3 linked regions of the Rhinolophus ferrumequinum genome follow. The protein of the gene in region 1 purifies or fractionates together with the protein of each later gene. This does not show direct contact. Links are inferred from orthologs where the notes say so. Each region holds a gene or a part of one and is shown in the gene's direction. Other genes may lie near its edges.

What was found.
Region 2: the proteins of POLR3B (region 1) and POLR3H purify together in Homo sapiens (affinity purification with mass spectrometry; 8 studies listed by BioGRID and IntAct, with this or other methods). This does not show direct contact. The link is inferred for Rhinolophus ferrumequinum from reciprocal best matches to the Homo sapiens genes POLR3B and POLR3H.
Region 3: the proteins of POLR3B (region 1) and GPN1 purify together in Homo sapiens (affinity purification with mass spectrometry; 4 studies listed by BioGRID and IntAct, with this or other methods). This does not show direct contact. The link is inferred for Rhinolophus ferrumequinum from reciprocal best matches to the Homo sapiens genes POLR3B and GPN1.

Annotation. Positions count from the first base shown.
Region 1 is NC_046293.1:14,150,294-14,157,579, reverse strand, and holds the start of POLR3B (DNA-directed RNA polymerase III subunit RPC2), read left to right. Parts: upstream 1-4,261; 5' UTR 4,262-4,442; coding exon 4,443-4,514; intron 4,515-7,286. UniProt on the Homo sapiens protein: Catalytic core component of RNA polymerase III (Pol III), a DNA-dependent RNA polymerase which synthesizes small non-coding RNAs using the four ribonucleoside triphosphates as substrates.
Region 2 is NC_046293.1:6,459,972-6,468,070, forward strand, and holds the start of POLR3H (DNA-directed RNA polymerase III subunit RPC8), read left to right. Parts: upstream 1-5,048; 5' UTR 5,049-5,130; intron 5,131-5,386; 5' UTR 5,387-5,406; coding exon 5,407-5,517; intron 5,518-8,099.
Region 3 is NC_046296.1:53,153,167-53,161,184, reverse strand, and holds the start of GPN1 (GPN-loop GTPase 1), read left to right. Parts: upstream 1-4,920; 5' UTR 4,921-4,978; coding exon 4,979-5,089; intron 5,090-6,120; coding exon 6,121-6,214; intron 6,215-7,819; coding exon 7,820-7,859; intron 7,860-8,018. Other genes in the region: CCDC121 (coiled-coil domain-containing protein 121), read right to left, coding at 2,553-3,444, 4,350-4,807. UniProt on the Homo sapiens protein: Small GTPase required for proper nuclear import of RNA polymerase II (RNAPII). May act at an RNAP assembly step prior to nuclear import.

The DNA of each region.
Region 1 (7,286 bases):
GATAGTAAGTTGCAAAATTTTCCATTCCTTTGGTAAAAGGACCAGACTGAGAGTCACAAGACTTGAGTTGGAATTCACTTCTACTACTTAATAGCTATATAAACTCAAGCCAGTATTTTAATCTCCCTGAACCCTCTAAATGGAGGTTTCCTACCCTACCTGCCTATTCTATTCCCTGCTTACCTGGCAGATACAGTGAGAATCAAACGAGATAATGTACTTGAAATTGCAAATTCTAAAGCATAGTGTAGCCAGAACACATGATAATAACTGTTAATTTATTAGTTCTAAATCTCTTTCAAGCTTCAAGGGTTTTAGTATTGTGAGACGTGATGATTAAGACTTAAGTGCAAAAGAACAAAAACTGTCGTATCTCATCAGAAGCATGGTCCATTAAGCCCAATATTGTCACTGACAGAGACACTCAAGGGTGTGTGGAAAGCTGCATCCAGAGGACAGCCACCTGGATGTCATCTTCAAAGGACAGTGACAAAACCAACAGGTTCTGATTTCCTTTAGTAATCCATTGTGACTTTATTCTCCATGATTTAACCTGATCTTTTAGAGACTATGTTTGTATAATCAACTTGTGTCCTCTTGTTCTCTATTTTTGCAGTGAAGTATTATCTTTTCATTTCTAAGCTTACTACTACGTTAGCCTCTTTCAGGTTTCAGAGAAAAGGGACCTCGGGGTTTAGTATAAGGCTTTATGGGGGGGGGGGGGGAAGGAAACCCAGGAATGTATCCCAGCAGCTGCACTTAGACTTGGTCAAGAATTTGAATGTAATTTTTTTTTCCAGAATAGAATCATAATAGCCACCAAGCACTTACCACATGGCAAGCACTACCGTTAAGCATCTAATATATATGATCTCACATAACTGCGAGATATGCTGTGAGGAAGGCTCTATCTTTTTTCCCACATGTGCAAAATGAGACCCAGAGAGGCTAAGGAAGTCATCCAAGGTCACAGAGCTGGTCAATGTACTTGAACCCAAGGAGTCAAACCCTGAAATGTGTGCCCTTAACCACTTGCTACATTGGTTCCTTAGGTCACCCAATGAAAAGTATTTCTCACGGTCGTGTTGCTACCGAATGCTGACTTGGTGTTTACTTGTCTGCTTCTGCTTCCTGCTGCTGCCCTCCCTTTTGGTTCATCTTAATTAAAAACGTCGCAGGAGAGAGAATACAATTGGGTTATTTGCCCCTGCTTGGTATGCATTCCTCCTCTCCCACTGTCCCTCCTTGGGTAGGGGTCTCATGACAAGCCACCTTGGCTTCCTTATATGGCTGTCTTTGGCCGATTCCTAGCCCTATGGCTTTTGGCAGGATGGTGATGTCACATGACACAAAGTAAGGCTTTCAGGGAAAAGCCTGTGGGCACGGCAGCTGCTAGAGGTTTTTGGACCACCCAGTCTTACTCAAAATGCAGAATGTTCTCTGACTACAGTGGAGACTTTTGTTTATGTTCCTCCTCACCTTCCTCTCTGTGAAATAACAGACTTCAAGGATTCCCTCTCTGCCCTTGCCTCGTCAGACTGAAGAGCCCTTATTCTTTCTCCAACATTGTTCTGGTCTTCTCTAGTTCTATTATCAATGGATTCAGGTATAGAAATCAGGACCGTACATATTTTTTCCCAGCCTGAATGCATGAAGGTTTTGAAGAGAGGATGATCTTTTTCTTTTGTTCCTAGTATCTTCGTGTTGAGCCTCTCATAATAAGGTGTAACTGTAACATGGCATAAAGGTCAATGATCAGCCCCAGTGGATTTTTATAGTGTCATCTACAGACACTTCCCTTGATAGCCCGACTGAAGCCCCACACTCAATTGCCAGAATGTGGGATTGTGTTATCTACAACCTTCATGCCATTGCTCAGGCATTTTTCTCTGCTTGAAATGCCTTCCACCACTTTTCTTTCAGTGTGGTATAATAATAGAGTGGGTAAAAGCATGGGCTCTGGCATCAGATAATTACGAATTTAAATTCCAACTCTGCTTGGCAAATTTCTTAACTCCTACTATGAGCCTTAGTCTCCTCATCTGTCAAGTGGGGATAATCATAGTTATCCATCATACTTATCCCCCTGGGGTTCATTATTAAACCAGAGAATACACATAAAGTATGATTCTAATGTCTGGCAAAGAGTACACTCAAGAAACTGACATTCTAATGTTTCAGGGCCCAGCTTGGACACCTCTGCTTTTTCTTGCCCTTTATACTCCTTTAACCATTGCTCCCTGTTCTCCTCTCCAACCCCAGTGGCATTGATCACTTTCTCATCTGGCTACCAAAACATTTTATACGTAAGTGATGGGATAGTAGTCCAAGATATCAATCATTTTTCCCTCTGCAATTTCCTTTCCCTATTCAAACCATCAGTCTCTTTGCACCCATAGCTCTGGAAAAAGATGTGACAGCAGAAGACAGAGAAATCAAGAGACTGTTCCTGGCTTTTTGGTTTTAAAAATCTAGCCCCTAAGGAGATCAGAAAGAATTCACTGATTTGACTTGGGGTTGCCAATGCCGTACCTCGGGGGCCAGGCAGGTGTAAGGAAGGTAGGATGGTGGCAGCTGCGATCTCAGCCACCACCACTCAGCATCAGCCAACCATTGATCGCCATGCAGGAACCTGGGACCACGGCTACCAACGTCCTCCTCTTTCCGAGAGAAACTAAAACAAAATTTAAAAATTAGGATTAAAACTGAAAGATAATACTGAGTTTGGTATCACTCATTGTATGCTTTTCTTTCAAATTATTTTTTCAACATGTTTATTCAATGGGTTAGGAGCTAGGACTACGAAGACAGACAAAACAGTCCCTGTTCCAGAAGCTCCCAGAAGCCAACCTTGAGATGTCTCCTATCAAAAAACTACGTCATGGCTCCTTTCAGGCTAGATTCTGAATAGGTTGCTCTCTGGTAATTCAGAAGGGTGATACAAAAGTGTACCTGTCTCTTTAAGTAAACTGTAAGATCTTAAAGAGCAGGAGTTGATTCTTCTCATTTCTCTTTCCTTTCTCCTCCTACTTTCAGACATCAGCACAACAGTGCAATATTTAGAAGATACAGGCAACTGAAGTTTACTTGCAGCAGCTAATTCAGAAATTAGACTAACCTGGTGCAAGGCCTATACATTCATGAGAAAATGACAAATGTGTATTTAACAAATTCCCATAATTTATTGCAGTAAAATATACCTAAGATTTACCATATTAACTATTTTTAAGTGTACCATTCAGTGGCCTTAAGTACATTCACACTGTTGTGTTATCATCACCACCATCCACCTCCAGAACTTTCGTATAGACCCAAACTGAAGCTCGTACCCATTAAACAACTGTTGGTATCTTTGGCCTTGTTTTTCCCAAAGGGATTTTCCGATTGATTTGTTTGAGTTCATTTTAAATTAGGGATACCAAGCTTTCGTCTTTTGCAACCTGTGTTTTTAAACAACTCTCTTCACGGTGATTAAAAAAAAAAAGTAATTTTCATGGAATCAAAGTACAGTGAGAATTGTATTATGAAATCTATGAATGCTTTACAATGTTGGTGTTGCCATCCTTGAAAGCCGTCATCTCCACAATGTTATGAATTGTTATGAATTCACTTACATTTTCTTCTCAAATTTTGTTAACATTTAAGTATATCATCCATACAGGATTCATTTAGATGTATTTTTTCTAAATGGCTAATCAGCTGTTCCAACATCATTTATTGGATAATTCATTTTTCTTCTACTGATTTAAAATGTCACCTTTTCATACTAAACTTCTCCACGTGCTGATATTTATTCCTGGATCTTACCTCTACTCCTTTTAGAATATAACACTGTCTTAATTATTGTCCTGTTATGCTCTACTCTCTAGTGAGTGAGTACCCCCTCACTTTATGGTTATTTTAATCTTTGAATAATGCAGGCACCATAATTTTTCAATATCACATGCAGGCACCATCATTTTTTTTACCCAAATCCCCTACTACTGGACATTTGGTAAGTTTCCTATTTTTCCATACTACACAACATGTAGTTTTGGACTGAATTACACGAATTCTCTGCCTCAGTGGCTCAAGTTGCGCAAGTCATCCGTTTACTCTTTTTTCTTAGATTTATTTTAAAAATTATAACCAATATGGTCTATTGGTCTCAATTACCGGATAATTGGAAATAAACCTGTCGGCTGGGGTTTAGGATTACCTGCGCGAGACCTCCGTGCGACACCAGGGGGCGCAATGTCCCAGTTTCGCCTCAGCTACATCCGGGTTCCACCGCAGGTTCGGGTCGGAAGCAGGCGGAACCTTTCTGTCGCGTGTTCAATTAACCTGCGCGGCGGGGACCACTTAGGCCTCCGCGCACCGCTCTCCTGGAGAGCTGCATTTCGCTTGAGGCAGCGAAGGCGGGCGTGGGGGTTTGGTTTGCTTCTTCCTTCTTCGTGAGCAGCATGGACATGCTTGCGGAGGAGTTTGGGAACTTGACCCCGGAGCATTTGGCTGCGCCGATCCCGACCGTAGAGGTGAGGGCCGGGTACGCGGGGAGCGGAAGGGGCCGGGATGCGTACCCTGGAGGCGGTGCCGCGAGAGCGTTCGCCCAGGAGCGGGGCGGGCCGCGGCTTCTGCGCATGCTCAGGCCCCCGCCACGCAGCTCCTTGCTCTCGCCGCCGCGTGCACGTGAAAGGCCGGATCTTTAACGATCTGTCAGCTGCCATGCGGGCCGAGCAGCCCCGCGGACGGCTCTCGGGTTGGACCCTTTCCAGTGTTCATGTTTGTCAGGGGAGAATTGGTCCTCACTTCCACCTTGGGGGACATATTGCATCTTCGCGGGCCCATAGAGGGCACTGAGGCTGGAGTTTAAGCCACTTTCATGAGATCCCACAGCTGGCTGTAGTGGTAAAACCAAATCGTCTCAATCCCAGGCTAGTCGTCCTTCCTTGTAACCTGGGATTCAAGTTTGGACTGCATGAGTATTTTAAACGTCCTGAATATTTACTCAACATCTTCCCTACGTGTTTTCCGGGACCTCGCTCCATAGCTTTCAACAGATTATCAGAAGTCAAGGTTAACTGCCCTACAGTGAGCTGCCTGAGGAAGTCCAGCGATTGATATAATTTTATTTTCTAGAAAGGCACATATTATAACCTCTCTGGGCCTCAGAATCTTCATCGGCATGGAAAGGGGGAACAAGAAATGAGGCTTGGAAAGAGCCAGGGGAGAGATTTCGGGTAGAGGGAACAGGGCGCTTGAAACCCGCTGGGCAAGACCATCTGATGTTTTTGAGGAAGTAAAATTAGGTAGTACTAGAGTGAAGAAGAGAGTGAAAGCAGAAGGATAGGTAAGGGTCCTGATTATGAAAGGTTTTGTTAGGCAATACTGGATTTTAACTCTGGAAGAGTTAAAAGCCAGCATTTACTGAGCACCTATTATGTGCCAGGCTCTGTGTCAGCCTGACATGCATTGCATTATTTAATTCTCTGAAATAAATACTATTTTCTCCACATTTTACCCATGAAAATTTTTGAGGCCCAGAGAGGTTAAGTAACCCAGTGTCAGAACGCAGGTAAGTGGCTGACTCCAGAGTTTTCATCCTTAACTGCTGACTGGACCGCTTCTCCAGCGCTGAAGGAAGAAGCCTAAAGGATTTCTGTTTCTTGCTTGAATTCGCACAGCTGTGAAGGGACTAAAACCACATTTCCGGCCTTCTGATTCAGGAATGACAGTTCGTCTTCCTGGCCCTCTGTACACCATCCACCATCCCATCTTAAGGGTCCTGCCTACTAACTGCACTCAAATCTGAAACTTCATTCCCCCTGTTCTTCAAGTCTGCATCACTGTCGTCTCTTACTTCCTAGGCTCCTAACCTGTCTCATTCTAATCTGTGCTCTGTGGCCAGAGCCATCAGTTTAAACACACACATCGGACCATGTTACTCCCTTGGTTAAACTTCTTCAAACTGCCCATTGCTCTTGGGGCAAAATCTAAAGTGTTTACTGTGTGTATAAGGCTTTCCTCAGTCTGGCCACTAATAACTTGTCCAGCTTCTCCCCCTCCCCTCCATCTGCCTCCCCCCAGATATTTCTATTCCTTTTGATCTTTTTTTCATTCCTCTTTGTAGATTTACATGCATTAAAATGCAGGAGTACTAAGTGGTCCGTTCCATCAATGTTGACAGTTACGTATTTCAAATCACCACCACCCAATACAAGATAATAGAACTTTTCCATCACCCCACAAAGTTCCCTTTTCTTCCATCCTCACCCCCCCCTTTTGATTTCTATCATCATAGATTAGTTTTGCCGGACTCCTTCCTTTTTTAATTAAGACTTAATTTTTTTTAGAGCTTTTTAGGTTCCCAGCAAAATTGAGAGGAAATTACAGAGATTTCCCACATGCTCCCTGCCTTCCACCTCCATTGTTTCTTGAAAAATGTTTTTACCTTTTGTAGGTTGTCTGCCTCCTTCCCTGGCCATTCCTTCCTAGTCTCCTTGGCTAGATCTGCCTTCTGCTCCTCACCTCTAAATGTGGGAGAGCTTTTGATCTCCCTTCATGGAACTCTTCTCCATCTGTACTCATAAAGTGGTCTTATTCATTACTTGGCTATAATTACCATCCATTTGCTGACTTCTCCCGAGTTTATATCTCCAAGCTACTCTCTTCACAAATTCAAGACTCATACTTGTTGTCTATTTGACATCCCCACCTGAATGTCGAATGGATATCTCAAACTTAGCATGCCCCCAGCCAAACTCCTGGTAGCCCCTCACACCTAAACCTGCTGGTCTGACAGCACCCCGCTTTCTCATATTTATAAATGGTATCTCTAACGTGTCGATCTTGACTCCGCTTTCTCTCAGAGTCTCTATCTAATCTATTATCAAGTCCTGTTGGCTTGAACTTCACATTGTGTCTCCTAGTTAACAATTTCTCACTACCTGTACTGTTACCAGCCTGGAGTATTGCAATAAGCTCCTAAGTGATCTCTCTGCTTCTAACCTTGTCTATTCTCAACGCAGTAGCTCAACCTTAAAATTTAAACTCAATTTTAAATCATCATGTCACTCTTTCACTCAGAACCTTCCAACGCTACTCAAGTCAGTCTAGTAAAAGTCAAAAATTTTATAGTTGCTGCACAGTCTTATGTGATTCTTAAGCTGTTATTCAGACACTGTGTATTCTTACTTTAGACTCAGCTCTACTCATTTGTCAGATTTCCCATTAGCAGATTAGATGCCATTCATTAAAAGAGTCTTATTATGGTAGGCTACTTAAAACCTCAGGAAAGTGTAAATAGC
Region 2 (8,099 bases), about 7.7 Mb from region 1:
AGGGAATGAGAAGGACAGGGACCACATCGTGTAGGGTTGGGGGGCCTGGCAGCATCTTAAATGAGATGGGGGGCACAACGTGCCCTGCCTTTAGTGTTGCTGGCAGCCTGGCAGCCTCGTCCAGGGTAATGATCAGTGTGGACAGGAGGAGGAAAGAGCATGGAGGGTTCCCCTTGCCTGGGCCCCGGGGCAGGAGCCTGCCCTCTGGCCATGGATGAGGGTCTCCTTGTGTTGTGGCTGCTTGGATCCCCTAAAGCCACTAAGAGGAGCTCTCTGTGATGGGGTGAGGGGGTCCCTGGCCCACAGCCAGCCTCTCCTATCCCCTACCCTCAGGACGTGAGACTGGAGCAGCCAGGCTGACCCCCAGCACATACAGGGCTGGGATGGGCTATGAGCCTGGCCTCCTTCAGCCGTCTGTCCACCCACACACACTCCTAAACATCCTGGGCCCTGGGTCTCCAGCCTTCTCAACACCTGGAGCTTACCTCCATCCTCACCTTCAGAGAGAGGCCATCGCTGGTCGTCCTGGCGACGGCAGCAGTCCCTGGTCATGTGTTACCATATTATCCATGTGATAGTTCCTGATGGTGCCTGAAATGATCTCCCAAATCTGTTTGTTTCCTGTTGGTCCCCCTCCCCTAGACGGGGCCTCATGCACTGTAGCCCCAACAAATACCTGTTGACTTTCTGCCCTTTGTTTTGGCTCAAGCCAGAATAGAGAGTGACATCCTGGGACCCTTCATTTAGGTCCCTTCTAGAATCACCGTTCGTAATGGCACTTCAGCTGTGCTTTTGCCTCTATCGAGGGGCATTTTAAAAGTGCCCAAATGAGAACAGTTCCCGGGCCTGTTCAGACACCGTCAAGGGCATCCTTCCATTCCTCAGAGGCCTCTTTCCTTGAGAACCTGGAGAAAAATCTTCTGAGAGCTCAGAATCAAGGAAATCTGGATGTACCCCGAACACCTGGTTAGTTTCCATATTGGAAATTAGAACGCTTAGAGCCAAATTCTTTTTCTACTACCATTAAGTTCACAGGACCACTCAGATCTCAGGGCAAATCTTTTCTTTTCATCCTCTCTTTTAATCATCCAAGAAATACTTATCCTGAGCTTATTGTGTGCCTGGACCTGGGGAATCACTTGACCTGGGGAATCAAGTGAACAGAACTGACGACACCCCTGTCTTCATGGCACTCACAGTCAAGAAGAGGGAGAGGCAATAAAGCAACCTAAGTAGCTATGTCATATGTCAGAAGGCAATAAATGCTAGGCCGCCCACATTTAGAGGTGGGGAGAGGAGTCTGTGAGGTGGGAGGAGAACCTGGGGAGCGTGGGCTCCTACAAGCCACAGGGAAACCGTGTGTGAAGGAGGAGGGAGTGAGCAGTGGGGACAAATGCTGCCCACGAGGACTGAGAATTACCACTGGACTGGAAACGTGGAGGAGGCCATTGTGACCTTGAGAAAGCAGTTTGCGTTGACAGGAGGGCCCCACACCTGACTGGAGCAGGTTGAAGAGAGGACAAGAGGATTTGGAAATAGCAAGCGCAGATGACTCCTTCAAGCAGTTTTGTTGGTAAAGGGAGCAAAATATGGGGCACGAGTTGGAGGAAAAGGGGGACGAAAGACGGTTTTTTAAAAAGGTGTGAAAACTCTGAATTGCTCTTTTAGTTTAAATTTTATTCATTTTGGAATAGGTAATATATTCCCATGATCCCAAACATCAAAGATTCCAAATTGTGTTTGGTTAAACATTCTTCCTTCTACCAGTGTCCCTCTCCCACCCCTCACCCTGGAGACAACCTCTCACAGAGCACGTACGTGCCCACAAACACACACACATACACACACACACACACACACACCAACACCATCCCCAACACACACACACATTATTTTTCTCCCTTTTTGACACAAATGGTAACATCCTATACACGCTGCTCTGTGCCTCGCATTTTGATACTTAACAAACATGTCCTGAATATCATTCTACATCAATACACAAAGAGCTTTCTTATTCTTTTTATGGCTTCATAGTATTCCCTTCTATGATATACTGTATATTTTTTAATCCAGTCTCCCACTGATGGACAATCATTTGAGTTCAGTTCTATTATTATCTCCATTTTACAGAGAGGCCGCTGAGGCACTGAGAGGTCCATCGGCTTCCTCATGGAGGCTCAGCCCCCGTGCTGTGGCGTGGGAACTCCAGGCGCTTCACCACACTTGACTCTCCACCTCCTCCTGGATTAGTTCCCTTATTTCTCCCTCACTCCTACACTCTTAGCAATTATTTTGCTATCCTTTTGTTCATGTGAATAACACATATTTACAAGCCCTGACCATTTGCCAAGCACAGGGCTAGGCCCAGAGGATGTGAAGGGATATGACAGAGAAGGAACTTGCAGACTAAATAAGTCTTTGTGTGTTTTTCTAAGCCACCTCCAATCTTTTATGGAATGACGCAGAGAATTAATGAAGTCTAGTCCCTGTTTTTAGTAATGAGGAAACCAAACGTGCCAACAAATCACTGTTGCAACCCTGTGAGCTGAACACCATTAGAAAAGCCTGGGAACCCCAAACACTGAGCTGTGCGATTCTGGCCCCCTCCCCCAGCCTGGCCCTCCTCCAGTTTCCCTTCTCTGTTAACGGTTTACCATCCAGCCAGTGGCTAAAGCCCTCATTGGCTCCTCTTACTTCCATGCCCAGGTCATCCACCCTATTGATGAGACCACCCGCAGAATCTTCTGGACTCTGCCCAACTTCGCTATCCAGGGCTACCAGACTTGCTAGGGGTCTTCTCTTACAGGGGTCACCCAATAACTTCCTCCCTGTCTTCTTCTCTCCACTCCAGCCCCTTCCCATCCACTGTCCATCTAGCCACGATGTGTCACTGTGCCATTTCTGGTTCTAACCTTCTAAGGCTTCCCTTGAGCTAATGTCCTGGCGGAACAGCCCAGAGACTGTGGGCTCTGGAGCTTGACTCCTACTTGAATCCCACTTACCAGCGACCAGCCGTGTGATCAGCTGTGTGATTTTTTTTTTCAGTTGTGGAGGGTGAAGCTCAGGTCCAGGTCCAGTTGCTGTTGCCAGTTGCAGGGGGGGCAGCCCACCATCCCTTGCGGGAGTTGAACCATCAACCTTGTGGTTGAGAGCACGTGCTCCAACCAACTGAGCCATCTGGCCACTTGACAGCTCAGCAGCAGCTCACTGAGCTCATTCTAGTTGTGGAGGGTGCAGCTCGCTGGCCCATGTGGGAATCGAACCGGCAGCCCTGTTGCCCAGAGTTTGCATTCTAACCAACTGAGCCACTCGTCCGCCCCCAGCTGTGTGATCTTGAATGATGTACTTAACTTCTCTGCCTTTGATAAGGCAAAATGAGATAATGAGATAAACGAGAATCATTTGATAATGAGATAAATTAGATAATGATAATGATAGCCCCTACCTTTTACAGCAGTTGTGAGAATTAAAAGTTAATGAATCTTATAATGATAAGGCCCTTGTGATTTCCTGAGACCATTAAATTCTTTTTCTCTCTGTCCTCCCTCCAACCCCTCTGAGCTGAAGTTGGCCCAGGAGCCCAGTTCTTCCCCACTGGATCTCCAACAGCTGGATACACAGTCTGTTGAATGAAAGAAAGAATGAGAAAGGCATTGCATTTGGGTTCTAATGGATGCATAGGAGTTTTCCAGGTAAAGAAATGATGGAGGCAGGGCTATTAAAGGGCTTGTTCCATCCTTGGGGCTGGAGGCTCCCAGTGCCTGGAGGACAGGAAGGAGGTGAGGCTGGAGAAGAAGACTGGGTTCAGTCCAGACCCTCTGTGTGGGCAAAGGATATCCATGAAGGGAAGGCTTTTGTGACAGAGTGGCTGTTGCTTGCAGGAGAGACTGAGGCCAGGGTATGTAGCTAAGCTCCAGGGGAGCAACGAAAAGGCCTGAACTAGGGCAGTAGCTGTGGGAATAGAATGAAGAGGAAGGATTTGAGAGATATTTGAGACAAAGAATTAATATAGTCTCCTACACACTTTTACTGAATATCTCCTAGGAAAGATGTTAGGGGATTGTGGGAATAAAGAGCAGAAGTAATATCTTCCCCTGTCTTCAAGTAGTTCAAATCTTAGGAGAGGCAGGCAGACCTATAAATAAAAATATGGTGCAGGGAAGGTCGAATTCAGTCTTATCACAGCCAGTCTCATAGAGAGAACGCTCTGTGTGTAAAATCAGCAAATTAAAGCACCGTGCATTTCTGAGTGACTCTGTCACCTACCCCAACACTTTTTTTAAGTTCTCAAATTTTTATTTGGTTAAAACATACTACAGTATATTTCCACAACCCACCAACTTTTAGAGGCAGTGTAGTGTAGAGGTTTAGACTTAGCAGCCCATGATTTTGGACGAGTTACGGAATTCTCTTAGCCCAAGCCCATCTTAGCTATCATGTGAAGATGAAGGAGACTGAAACGTGGGGGAGAGAGAATGTGGAGGAGTGGGTAGGGATGAGATACTGCAGGGCCTTGTGAGCTACCATAAAGGGTTTGGATTTTATTATTAGTCCAATGGGAAGCTACTGAGGTGGTTTTTTTGGTCCCAATTTTACCATTTTTCAAATGAGATGTAATCTGTCCACAACTAAATGCAAGTGTTGAGTTCCATGAGTTTTGACAACTGCGTACATCTGTGTAACCACCTCCTAAAAAAAGATACAGAACATTTCTATTACCCCAGAAAGATCCTGCCTGCCACTTTTCAGTGAATTCTCCCCATCTCCAGAGTACTGAAGGGTCTAAATACTATATTGTGTTTGCATCACTCTGGCTGCGAGGCAGAGGACGGCTTGAGACCCGTAAGGAGATTGTGGCACAGGTCAGGCGAGAGATGACTGGTTGCACCGAGGTCGCCTAGCAACCAGCAAGCGTTGTCTAAGGATTGATCTCTAAGGAAAGGGGAAGCACCGCCCCCTCCAGGCCCCGCCCCACCCCCTCCGCCAAGGAGTCTATAGGCTGCGCCACCCCACATCCGGGGGAGGTAAGAAGCTTCTTATTGGTCGGTTCTCCGGAAGCCACGGGATTCGGAATCTCGCCCAAAGTCGTGCGAGCTCCGGCTGCGTTTGCGTGCGCGGTGCGTGGCGGAGGCGCGTGGTGCGTGGCGCGTGGCGCGAGGGGGCTTGGCGCGCTCATTCACTGCTGAACCGAGGTCCCTCCCGCTGAGCCTCAGTTTTCTCCCTTTGCGGTAGTGGAGCATTCTCCGCACGGGGCACCCCGGGCCCTACTGCGCAGCTCCACTGCCAGCCTTCGAGGGGGTGTCTCAGCGATTGGGACTAAACAGAGGAAGCTCGGGGATCCCCACCGCTCCAGGCCCCGATGCATGACTGATCCTCCGGTTCCCAGAGCCTCCAGCGCAGGCCAAGATGTTCGTCTTGGTGGAGATGGTGGACACGGTGCGGATTCCCCCGTGGCAGTTTAAGAGGAAGCTCAACGACTCCATTGCCGAAGAGCTAAACAAGAAGTTGGCCAACAAGGTACTGGGCCCACGGGGTCGCGGGTAGGCCTTGGGACGGGAGGGCCCAGTACTGCCCACCCGCATGCTGCAGGGCTGGCCTTGGGCAAGTAGCTTATCTCAGAACACAGTTTCCTCACCTGTACTTGGTAATTCTTACTCCACAGGGATGTTGGAGGGAATCAAAAGAGAAACTGGGTTTGAAAAAGGCCCTTGTGACTGCGAGGCGCTAGATTCCACACTTCCAAATTACTTTGCAATCTTGGGCAAGTCATTTACCCCCTCTGGGCCCGTTCCCACTTGTAAAATGCAAATAATAGTTACTGTCAACCACACATGGTTTTTGTGAAGATGGATGGTCAGGAGGTTTATCCGTTTATTTCTGCAAAAAATAAATGTTCACCTTCTATGCCAGGCCTGCATGCCTTAGTGCCAACTCTCCAGAGGCCTTCCCACTGCCTTTCCTGTAGTAACCCTCCCGCCTCAGTTATTCTGTGTCATATCACACTTAGCCACACTCTATTTTCTTATTTGTTCACTGGGTTACTGTTTTTCTCTTTCCCTGTCCATGAGGGCAGGGACCTCTGCCTGTCTTCTTCCCCACAGTATCCCTCAGATGTAGCCAGAGCCCGGCACAGAGTAGATGTTCCGTAATCGTCTGTTGATTCATTGAATGAATGAAACAGACAAGGTTCAACAGATAGGAATGAGAGGGTCCCACAGATGAGTGTGATGAAGATTTGAGGTAAAGGCTATGAAGGACAGGCATTCACAAGCCTGTGGAATAAAGGAACTTCACCTACAACGAGGGGGACAAGAGGCTTTGAGCTTTGTTAGGGAGGTGGCATTTTTCTTGAGCTGAAATGGTGAGGAGGAGCCGACTTGGGGATTGGTTTTTCATGGTGGGAGGGGCTGGGCAGAGAGAAGAGCTGTGCAGGCAGTCCAAACCACCTATGGCAGGAGGGAATGTTGCACCTTCATGGCATGGAGTAGGCTGGCGTGGCCTGGGCAGGCTGAAAGGTGGTGGGGGCCAGGCCACACAGCCTGCAGGACTTCATGGGGTGTTTATTGGTCTTCATAGAACAGTAGGAGGTGTTAGGAGGGTGGGGAGGAGCCAGCAAGAGGAAGATTGGCTTTATTTTTTCCCCCTTCTTCCACCTCCCCCGCCCCCCAACTCCAGTTCAAGCTGTTGTTTCTCAGTCTAGTTGTGTAGGACACAGCTCCCTGGCCCGTGCTGGTGTGATGAGCCTTGCGCTCCACCCCTTCTCTGGTTGAGGCAGTCGGTCGCCGATCATGGGTCGTCGTAGGTGGGCCACTCATGGCAGCTCACGGCAGCTCTCGGCCGGCGGCAGCTCATGCCAACCTCTGGCTGCTCTTCATGCCAACCTCTGGCTGCTCACGGCAGCCCGGAGCCGCTATTCACGATCTTAGCTGTAGAGGGCGCAGCTCACTGGCCCATGTGGGAATCCAACCAGCGACCTTGGCATTTGGAGGGCGTTTGGAGCATGGTGTTCCAACCACCTGAGCCACCGGGCCAGCCCATTGATTGGTTGGCTTTAGACAGGAGGCAGTTTCCCTCCATAGAGGCTGAGGTCAGAAGGGGATGCGCAGATCTGGGGAGTTGGTGGTGGAGAGAACTCACGGAGTCCTTGGTGGATGGCTGCTGGTTACTTTGTGAAGTAGAAGGTGAGGGGGTCTGTAGGGAGATGTATGAACATCGTAGAGAGAGAAGGTGTGCAAAGTCCAAGAAAGGAATGTAGTCCCTTTTGTGGCACGGGTCCTTCAGTGACCTGTTAAGACAAGTCTTTCCATGTGCGAATCATTGAGTCATTTGAGAGGAGGCCACACAGAGAGGTCCACGGTCCGGCCAATGACATAGATCTTGTGCCGAACTTTGTCCCGTCTTGGTGAGGTGTGGCCAGGACTCGTAAGTTCTCTGAGCTTCTTGCTAATCCTTGAACAGTCCTGCCAGGTCTCAACTGGGAGGCGATGACGCTAGTGGCAGATTAGCAGACACCAAACAAGCAGCCAGTTGTTTGGAGCACTGTGGGGTGGGGATGGGGATGGGATGTTCTCTGCCTGTTCTCTGCCCAGTTGTGGGGCCTTGGCCATGTGTCACTGCCAGCCTCAGTCCACGTGGCCACGTCTGTGTGTCTGAGACTTTATGAGCAGAACAGAGATTAGCTGTAGTTCTGACACTGAGCTGTGCACTTTGGCCTGGACTTGGGGGACCTTGGGAAAGTGTAGAACCAGGGGTTCCCTTACCACTGAACCCTACTAGTAATAATTGTGATCCTTGATTATTATTATTTCTATCATGTGAGCCACGTACTGGGATAGAGGCTTCCCATCCAGTCTCTCTTTATTTCAATGCTGCAGCCTGGTGTATCCATTTTTGCAGGGAAACTGAGGCTCCGAGAGGTGACCTTAGAGGTCACGCAGTAGGTGGTGGAGCTGGCATTGTAACCTGGATCTGTCCTGTCACCAAAGGCCCTGTTTTCTCCAGAGCTCCACATCCTTCCAAGTTTCCTCGTCCGTGGTTACTTCAGGCAGTGCCCCAACTCATTTCCAGCTGTAAAATGGGGGTGATCATACCTGCCCTGA
Region 3 (8,018 bases), on another chromosome or scaffold:
TTAAATGTGGGCTTTTGTGAAGACCACTTTCAAATAAGGTGGCATTGAAACCTTATTTGGATATTGCCAAAATAGGTAATTTTGAAACAAGTGAAGGACATGGTGTGATTCATCCACTCTACATTTTCATTGGCATTTGTGCCCTTAGAGCCCTTTCAGTAGATAAGGATTGTCAGGGAGGAGAAGTGAAGAAGCTGTGTTAATTTCTGGTGAGTAAGACTTGGGAAATGTTTGGCAATGACAAAAGAAATAAACAACTCTGTTAGATTGATGTTTCCAGTTGTTCATTGACTCCGACCTGCTACTTGACTCCTTGCTGATACAGTGTATGGAGGTAAAAAGATGGCTAGGGATGGGAGTGAGTTTAAACTAAGTACCAAATGCAGTTGTCTCAGTCATTCCTTAGCTCCTGAAATCTGCTGGGTAAAATGAATAATTTGCGATTAAAGTGAATTAGTATAGGAAACTTGCCCAATGTCATCCAGGGTCCTTGCAGGCACTCATTTTTCTGATCAGGCCAGTGATCAGCAGGACTCAGTATAGACTCTCCTGATCATACTATTGAGTTTTTAAGTTTTTAAATTCATTAGAATAACAGAAACTTAAGTTTGACAGTATCAGGTACCGCTAGGTTTTGGAACAATGTGAACTCGAATGCATGGTTTGGAATGTTAATTCATACAGTCACTTGGGAAATGATTTGGTGGTAGCTCGCAAAATTGAAGATATGCCCAAAAACTCAGCAGTTTCACTTCTAGGTATATAATAGAGAAACTCCTCTTGCCCAGGTGTACCAGGCGACATAAACAAGAGTGATTACTGCAGTACAGTTTATAATAGATACTGGAAACAATGTGTAGTAGAGATTACTAGCTGTCCACCAAAATCTGCACTCAACTTGCAAAATTATAGGATTATAAGACAAATGGCTAGACCCCATTTCCCAGCCATTCACCGCAGGGAAGGGGAAGCCAACTCTCCAGTGGAACATGAGTGGAAGTGACATGTGTCACTTCCATGCTACAACTTTTAAGTGAGTGAGTGTACTTCCATGTTTGCTTTCCCTTTCCTTGGGTTAGATGCACGTGATGATGGGCTGTAGGGGATGGCAGAGCACAAAAAGGAAGAGAGTTAACTCCTTGAAGACTACTTCCGTGAAGAACTACTTGCCAACCAGGAACATCTATCAAACTATTAGATGAGCAAGAAATAAAAGTCTGTTATTTGAGACATTATGCATTCTCGGGTCTCTGTTAACCTACTCTAATGCATAACCTAATTGTCCATCATCGGGAGAAGGGATAAATTGTGACGTAGTCCTATAGTAGAACACTATACAGCTATGAAATTAACTAGAGCTTCTTGTATCATGAATATATCTCAAAAATAATGTCTGGGAAAAGCAAGTTACAGAATACATCAAGTGTACCATTTTTATAACATTTAAAAACACACGAAAATGCTCTACATTGTTTATGGATATATGTAAATATAAAAGTACAGTATATACAAATATTTATATTTAGTATATGTATTTTAATATATATAAACATAGTATGGAAACATGCACAGGAATGATAAACACCAAATTTAGTATAGTGCTGGCATCCAGAGGGACTACGAGTGAATTTGGAAGTTCTTATTTCTTAAGGTGTATAGTAAGTTTGTCATAGTTTTATATTTTTTTGTATGTCTGAAATATTTCATTTTCAAAATCAGTTAACAATCAAAAAAATATATTCTGCTTACCTCCTTCAAAGGGAAAAGTTTAGAACATTTTCTTCTGCTTCATCTTAACCTTTGATTTTTCCCTCACCCAATAGTCTGCTCCCCCCATGTCTTCACTTCTATTTCTACGATCCCAGTTGGAACCATCATCAACTCTTGCCTAGACTACAGTAGGAGCTTCTTAATTGTTTTTTTCTGCTTTTTACTGGCTTGGATTCACTCCACGTAAGAAGGTTGTAGTGAGTTTTTAAAACTGTAAATCAGACTTCATTCACGTGCTAAAAGCCTAATGGTTTCCCAGGGCACTTAGAATCTAAGTCACTCCCTTTCCTTGTTCTACAAGGCGCTTTGTGTTCCTACTGCTGACCTTTTAGCCTCATCTTCCTCTGCTCCACCCATGTTCTCTGATTATTATTCCCCAACAACATGTTAGCCACACTACCTTTCTGAACCTACCAAGCTCATTCCCATTTTAGGGCCTTTGTATTCACTCTTCCCTCTTCCTGGAATGATTTTTACCCCATTTGCATTGTATACTTCATTTTCTCATTCAAGTCTCAAACTGAAGTTTACGTCAGAGGTCTTTTCCACCTGAACACACTTTCTGTAACATCACCCTATTTAATTTCCTTCATAGCACAGCAGAAAGTAGACATCTTTATTAGCCAACCTTCACACTAAAACATCATGATGGCTATTTTACCATAGCAATGAGATCTAAAAGCCTTCCTAAGTTTATGCAGCACCTAAGAACACTTGCTCTAGTCCTTATTTAATCAGCGATATTTTAGGAATTACTGTGGGTTAATCCTTGATTTTGGTGCCTATGGGAGGGGTTCTTGTTTTTGGCGCATGCCTTGCAGTCGTTGCCTCCCCCGGATTAAGCCCTCCACATACCACTGTTCCTGCTGCAGCTGCCGCTTCTGAGTTTTGAACTGTCTTTGAGTAGTCTGCAACTTCTGGCATTGCCAGGTTTGCTGCAATAGTTCCTTCTGTAACTGCTGGTTCTCTCTGCGGACACTGCGGTACAACTCAAAAGTATAATTCTCTGCTGCCAACTCTAAGGCCTGGATCTTCCTGTTAAGCTTCTTTCCTTTTCTCTTTCCCAACTGCCTAACATCTGGCTCACTCAGTTGTTTCTCCAGTAATGCTTTTTCCTGGAGGTACTGGACCTGGATTTCCTGTTTCTTTCCAGTTGTCTCAGCTTGGACTTTTCTTTTCTCCTCCTCTAATGTCTGCATTGCTCTCTCCTGTTTCTCCTTTAATAGTGAAACGTCCCTCAATGCCTGCAACTGCTGGTTCAAATCAGATTGGATCTTGCCCTTCTGCAAGAGCTCTGTGTTAAGCTCTGATGTTTGTTTCGCATATTTGGAGGCTGATTCTTGTCTCCTTTGTTCAGTCTCCCCACTTCTTTGCAAATAGCTGTTCCACAGCTTCTCAAATTGCCTTCTATACCTCTCAGTTTTGTTGGTCAGGTATTCCAGAAAGAATTTATTTTCAGCCTGGACATGTAACTTTTCACTGAGTAGCTGCCAAGTTTCCTTCATTAGCGGTTCTTGCCAAATTTGAGCTTGTTTTATTTGCTTGTCCAGCGTCATCATTTCCACTGTCGTTTCTTTAAGCCCCATCAGTGCCATTGTTAGCTTCTCTGGCTCAAAAAAATTATTTATTAAACTAAGATACGGTGGAGGGGGACCACTGGAGTCCTCAACAAACCTGAAGGAAGAACAAGTGAGACATTCCCCCATCAGTTCTTCATTAAAATTTAGGAAATAAAAAATGCACAATTGTACTTTAATTCATACAAGAAAATATTTTGAGCACTTATTTAGTGACACTGCGAGGAGGCATGGGGTATGATATAGCTTGGGTAAAGATGAGGGAGTGTACTTTACAATTTACAATATGCATTCAGTACCGCCCTGTAATGTATCTCATTTTTATTATTAGTTTCAGGTGTACAAAACAATGTAATAGACATTTATACCCCTCACAAAGTGATAACCCCCACTCCCCCAATCTACTAGCCCTCTGACATCATATATAGCTGTTACAGTTCCATTGCCTCTATTCCTTATGCTGTACTCCACATCCTGTGACCATATATATATATATATATATATATATATATACACACACACACACACACACATATATATATATATAATTGATATTATTCAGCTTCAGATGTACACTGCAGTGGTCAGACACACCGTCCATGAAGCAGTCTCCCTAATAAGACAAGTGTCCGTGGGATACCCTATAAAATCTTTACAACATTATTGATTCTATTCCCCAACTGTCTTTTGTATCCTGGTGCCAATCTTGTGGTTATTGATTGTGCTTTCTAATCCCCTCACCTTCTCCCTCATCCCCACTTACCTCAATTTTAAAGGGAAAACAGGTTCAGGGAATTTATGACTTGGCCACGATTTACACCGCTAGCAAGTGGCAGAGCCAGCCAAGGTGTGAAACTTAGATCTATGACTTAGTTAACAACTACAAAGGGCCACCAGCACATACTCGGTGGTCGGGAGCAGGAACAAACGTCTCGGCTCTAGCACCACCTTTTCGGTTTCCCAGGACGCTTCCGTGGAGGGAAGCGCTCCTTTAGTACCTACTTGCGACTGGAATCCCAGCGTTTCTCCCCAAGGTCTAGCTGTAGTTCATTGAGGGTGACTGCCAAGGAGCTAGTGTCAGGGGACTGCGACACACGGATACAGCGTCCCGCTGAGGAAACTTTTCGCAATTTCTCGGTTCTGTGTTCAACGGGTCTGGGCGCTGCCCAGCAACCCCGTAGGTACCCAGTCCTGGCCGGTCCAGCCCTGGGCTGCTTAACTTCCGCCGAATAAACCTTAGCCTTCGTTTCTCGGTAGGCTGTGTTCCCCGCTCCTGGTGGGCGAAAAGTGAAACGCACTCTCTTTTTCGTAGTGTGGGGGTCCTGCCCTTGGGATCCTAGGTCCTCTTGTTTCCATGGGAACCAGAGCTTTGCCCTTCCCAGGCCCAATCCTAAGACCATGAGCTCCAATTTTTCTGGCCCACTCCAGTCCTCTTCCCACACTCTACACTTCCCCGCCATTGCCACTAGTTGACTCCCGAGCCAGGTCGGGACAGGAAGATGCTCTGGCGCTCGTTCGCTCTTCCCTTTCTGGCAGGTGCAGATCTACCCTCGTTCGCAGCCCAGAACATTGCGGAAGTCTCTCTAGCCACGCTGCGTCGCTATGGTAGAGGGGGCGGGGCCAGGGGAAAGATGGCGGCGTCCGCGGCTGCTGCTGCGCCGCAGGCTTCGGGGGGTCCTCGGCCCCCAGTGTGTTTGTTGGTGTTGGGAATGGCGGGATCTGGGAAAACCACTTTTGTACAGGTGACGTACACGGCGCGGGCGTAGTTGGTGTGCTTGAGGTTGTCTGTGGCGGGTGGGGGAATGGGAGGGAGGTCTCTGGGGTGTTGGAGGGGAGCAGCGCGTGGCTTTGGGGACTTGCCAGCATCTCCGGTTCCTTCCTGAGCGAAGCCTTCTCGACCTGAGCCTGGGTTAATTAACGCTCTCTTTTGTACACTATCGGTGCGTAGTACTTGGTACAACTTAAGTAGTTGTACTGGAATTGTTTTAGCGATAATATTGCCAACTCCTGGGAGGCAGAGGCTTACAAGTAAATAGTGATTAATACAGTGCTACCACCCAGACTTTCAGTGTAGATTTCTAAAGAATTACATATGTCTTGCATGCCTATTATATAATATTTTAGATGTGGATGAAAAGTAACTTCACAGGGTGATCTGATCATAAATTCCTAATGGGGCAGGTCGTGGTGAGTAGTGATGGCCCAGGCATATAACTGCTTTAGTAAAAGGTTTATCTTTGCCTTAAGCAAGCCCTGTCCATTGTTTTTGTGCATCTAGGTTGGTTAACAACACACCTTTGAAATGCCTCTTTTTCGAGAGAGCATGTAATCTTATTAACTATCCTGTAATCTGACACCCCGCCTTCTCCCACTTTTAGTTATTTAATCTTCTTTATGTTTACCTTCTTAATTCCAAATGCATAAAAGAAACTGTAAAACTGCCATTCTCAGGAGAATCTGAGATCTTGCTTCCTGGCAATTGTTGTCAAATAAACTCTTATAAATATTCTGTACGTGTTCAGTGAAAATGAGGTTGACAAGGTTCCTGCTTTCAGGAAACTACTGTTATACTGGGGGTGATAGAGAAAACCCCCACACAAAACAAGTAAATGATCAAGAGTAGGGGAGGCTCTGTTAAGTGGGTAATAAAGAAAGGTAGCATTTCAACAGAGTTCAACGTTGGAAGTGAATGTTTCAGATGGAAGGAAATGTCCTTTATCCCCTTATCATGCCCTCTTTGTCTCACTCAATCCCTCTCCCCATATTGCTGCAGAGGCTCACGGGACACCTGCATTGCCAAGGCTCTCCACCTTATGTGATCAACCTGGACCCGGCTGTGCATGAAGTTCCCTTTCCTGCCAATATTGGTAAGTAAACTGCCTCAGAATGGAAAGCCTCCAGCTTGCCAGTTTCAATGCTTTCATTTTTTCTAAACTACCGTGTTTCCCCAAAAATAAGACCTAGCTGGACCATCAGCTCTAATGCGTCTTTTGGAGCAAAAATTAATATAAGACCAGGTCTTATATAATATGATATAAGACGGGGTCTGATACGATACGATACGATACGATATACTGGGTCTTATATTAATTTTTGCTCTAAAAGATGCATTAGAGCTGATGGTCTGGCTAGGTCTTATTTTTGGGGAAACACGGTATCTACTCTCCTTTGCTTGGATTTGCTAGAATCCCTAAACAGGCTTCTCCCTTATTCACATTTTCTCTTTGTTTACTTCTTTCCCAAATGTATTTCCTTACCACTCAGCATTATTTCTCCCCTCTTTCTGACCCTAGGGTGTCAGGCTGTTGTTATTTGGGAAAATGAAGTGACAGGAAGTCAGTCCTCTCACTTCTAGGCCATAAACCCTTCAAAAGGCTTTGATACATACATATACCTTTTTAGTTTCTTTTCTTAAAGTTAGAGTATAAGGGTTTTTGTGTGGTAGTTCACTTACTGATTTGTAGGAACCTTGCTTCCACTCTCAAAGTTACATGGGAAAATGTGTGTATATATGCACATGTACATTGTTTTGGGGAAAGTTTCCCAATTATAAGACTTTAAGAGGAATCTGTGACTCTAAATAAGAATGGATGTGATTCAATGTCATGATTCTAGATAGGATCTAGGTTTCTTGATTTCTAGACTATCACTGTGTGCCAATCCTCTTCTTATTCTTCTTAAACCTATTAAGCTGCTTGTACCCCGCACAAACTAATAGAGGGCCTTGTATCAAGAAGCAGAGATTGTTTTGAGAAGAATTTGGGGAAAAATTGTTCATCTTACTCAAAGGATAGAATTCTAATTCTAATAGTTGATGGGATAGGTTTACAGACTGGTAGATGGGTTTAGTTAGATATTACTGGACAGATTCATTCTTTTTTTTAAAAATCATGTCTGCATTACCTTTGTTACCACTAAGGAATTAGTAAGAAATAAACGTTTTTTTCCTTGATTCAGCTCCCTTTTTCTATGCTTATGATCACTGACAAGGTATTTAAGTTGCATAAATCTTCTCCTGGTCTCTGACCGTCTCTACCATAACTTGAGAGCTCCTAGCCTAACATTCTTCCTGGGTTACCTGGCAGTTATCCTTTACGAGGGAGGAAACCAGTGTGAAGCTGGGGAAATTAGAAGACGATGCTGACAAGCGAATCCTAAGAGTCTAGTTTCAGTTTCTTGCTGGTAGAGAAGGTACAGGACACCTTTTGCCTTTCTATTCTTCTCTTCAAAATCTTGCTTCTTTTCAAAATCTTGCTTCTTTTGCTATCGTAATTCAATGATCTTAGCTTAAAAATTTAGGAAACAAATTTAAAAAGTAACTCAGATGCTGAGGGATAAACTTAATTTTTTTTCCTCAGAGGAAGCAGAGATGACTTGAGAGACCTATTGCTTAGAATATTATTGGTGGAAGGTCTCATGCTGTATTATTTCATATATGTTGAATTCCAGTTAATTCTTTCTTTCCCGTCCAGATATTCGTGACACTGTGAAGTATAAAGAAGTCATGAAACAGTATCCTTTTCTACATCTACTTTGGTATTGACTCATTTCTGGGTAGTTACCGTCTGTATATTTTGTGGCTTTGCAAGAGTGTTTTTTCATTTCCTTGTGAACTATACTAACAAAAGCATTTGAGTGCTTCAAAGTAATTTTATTAGGAGGATGGAAGAT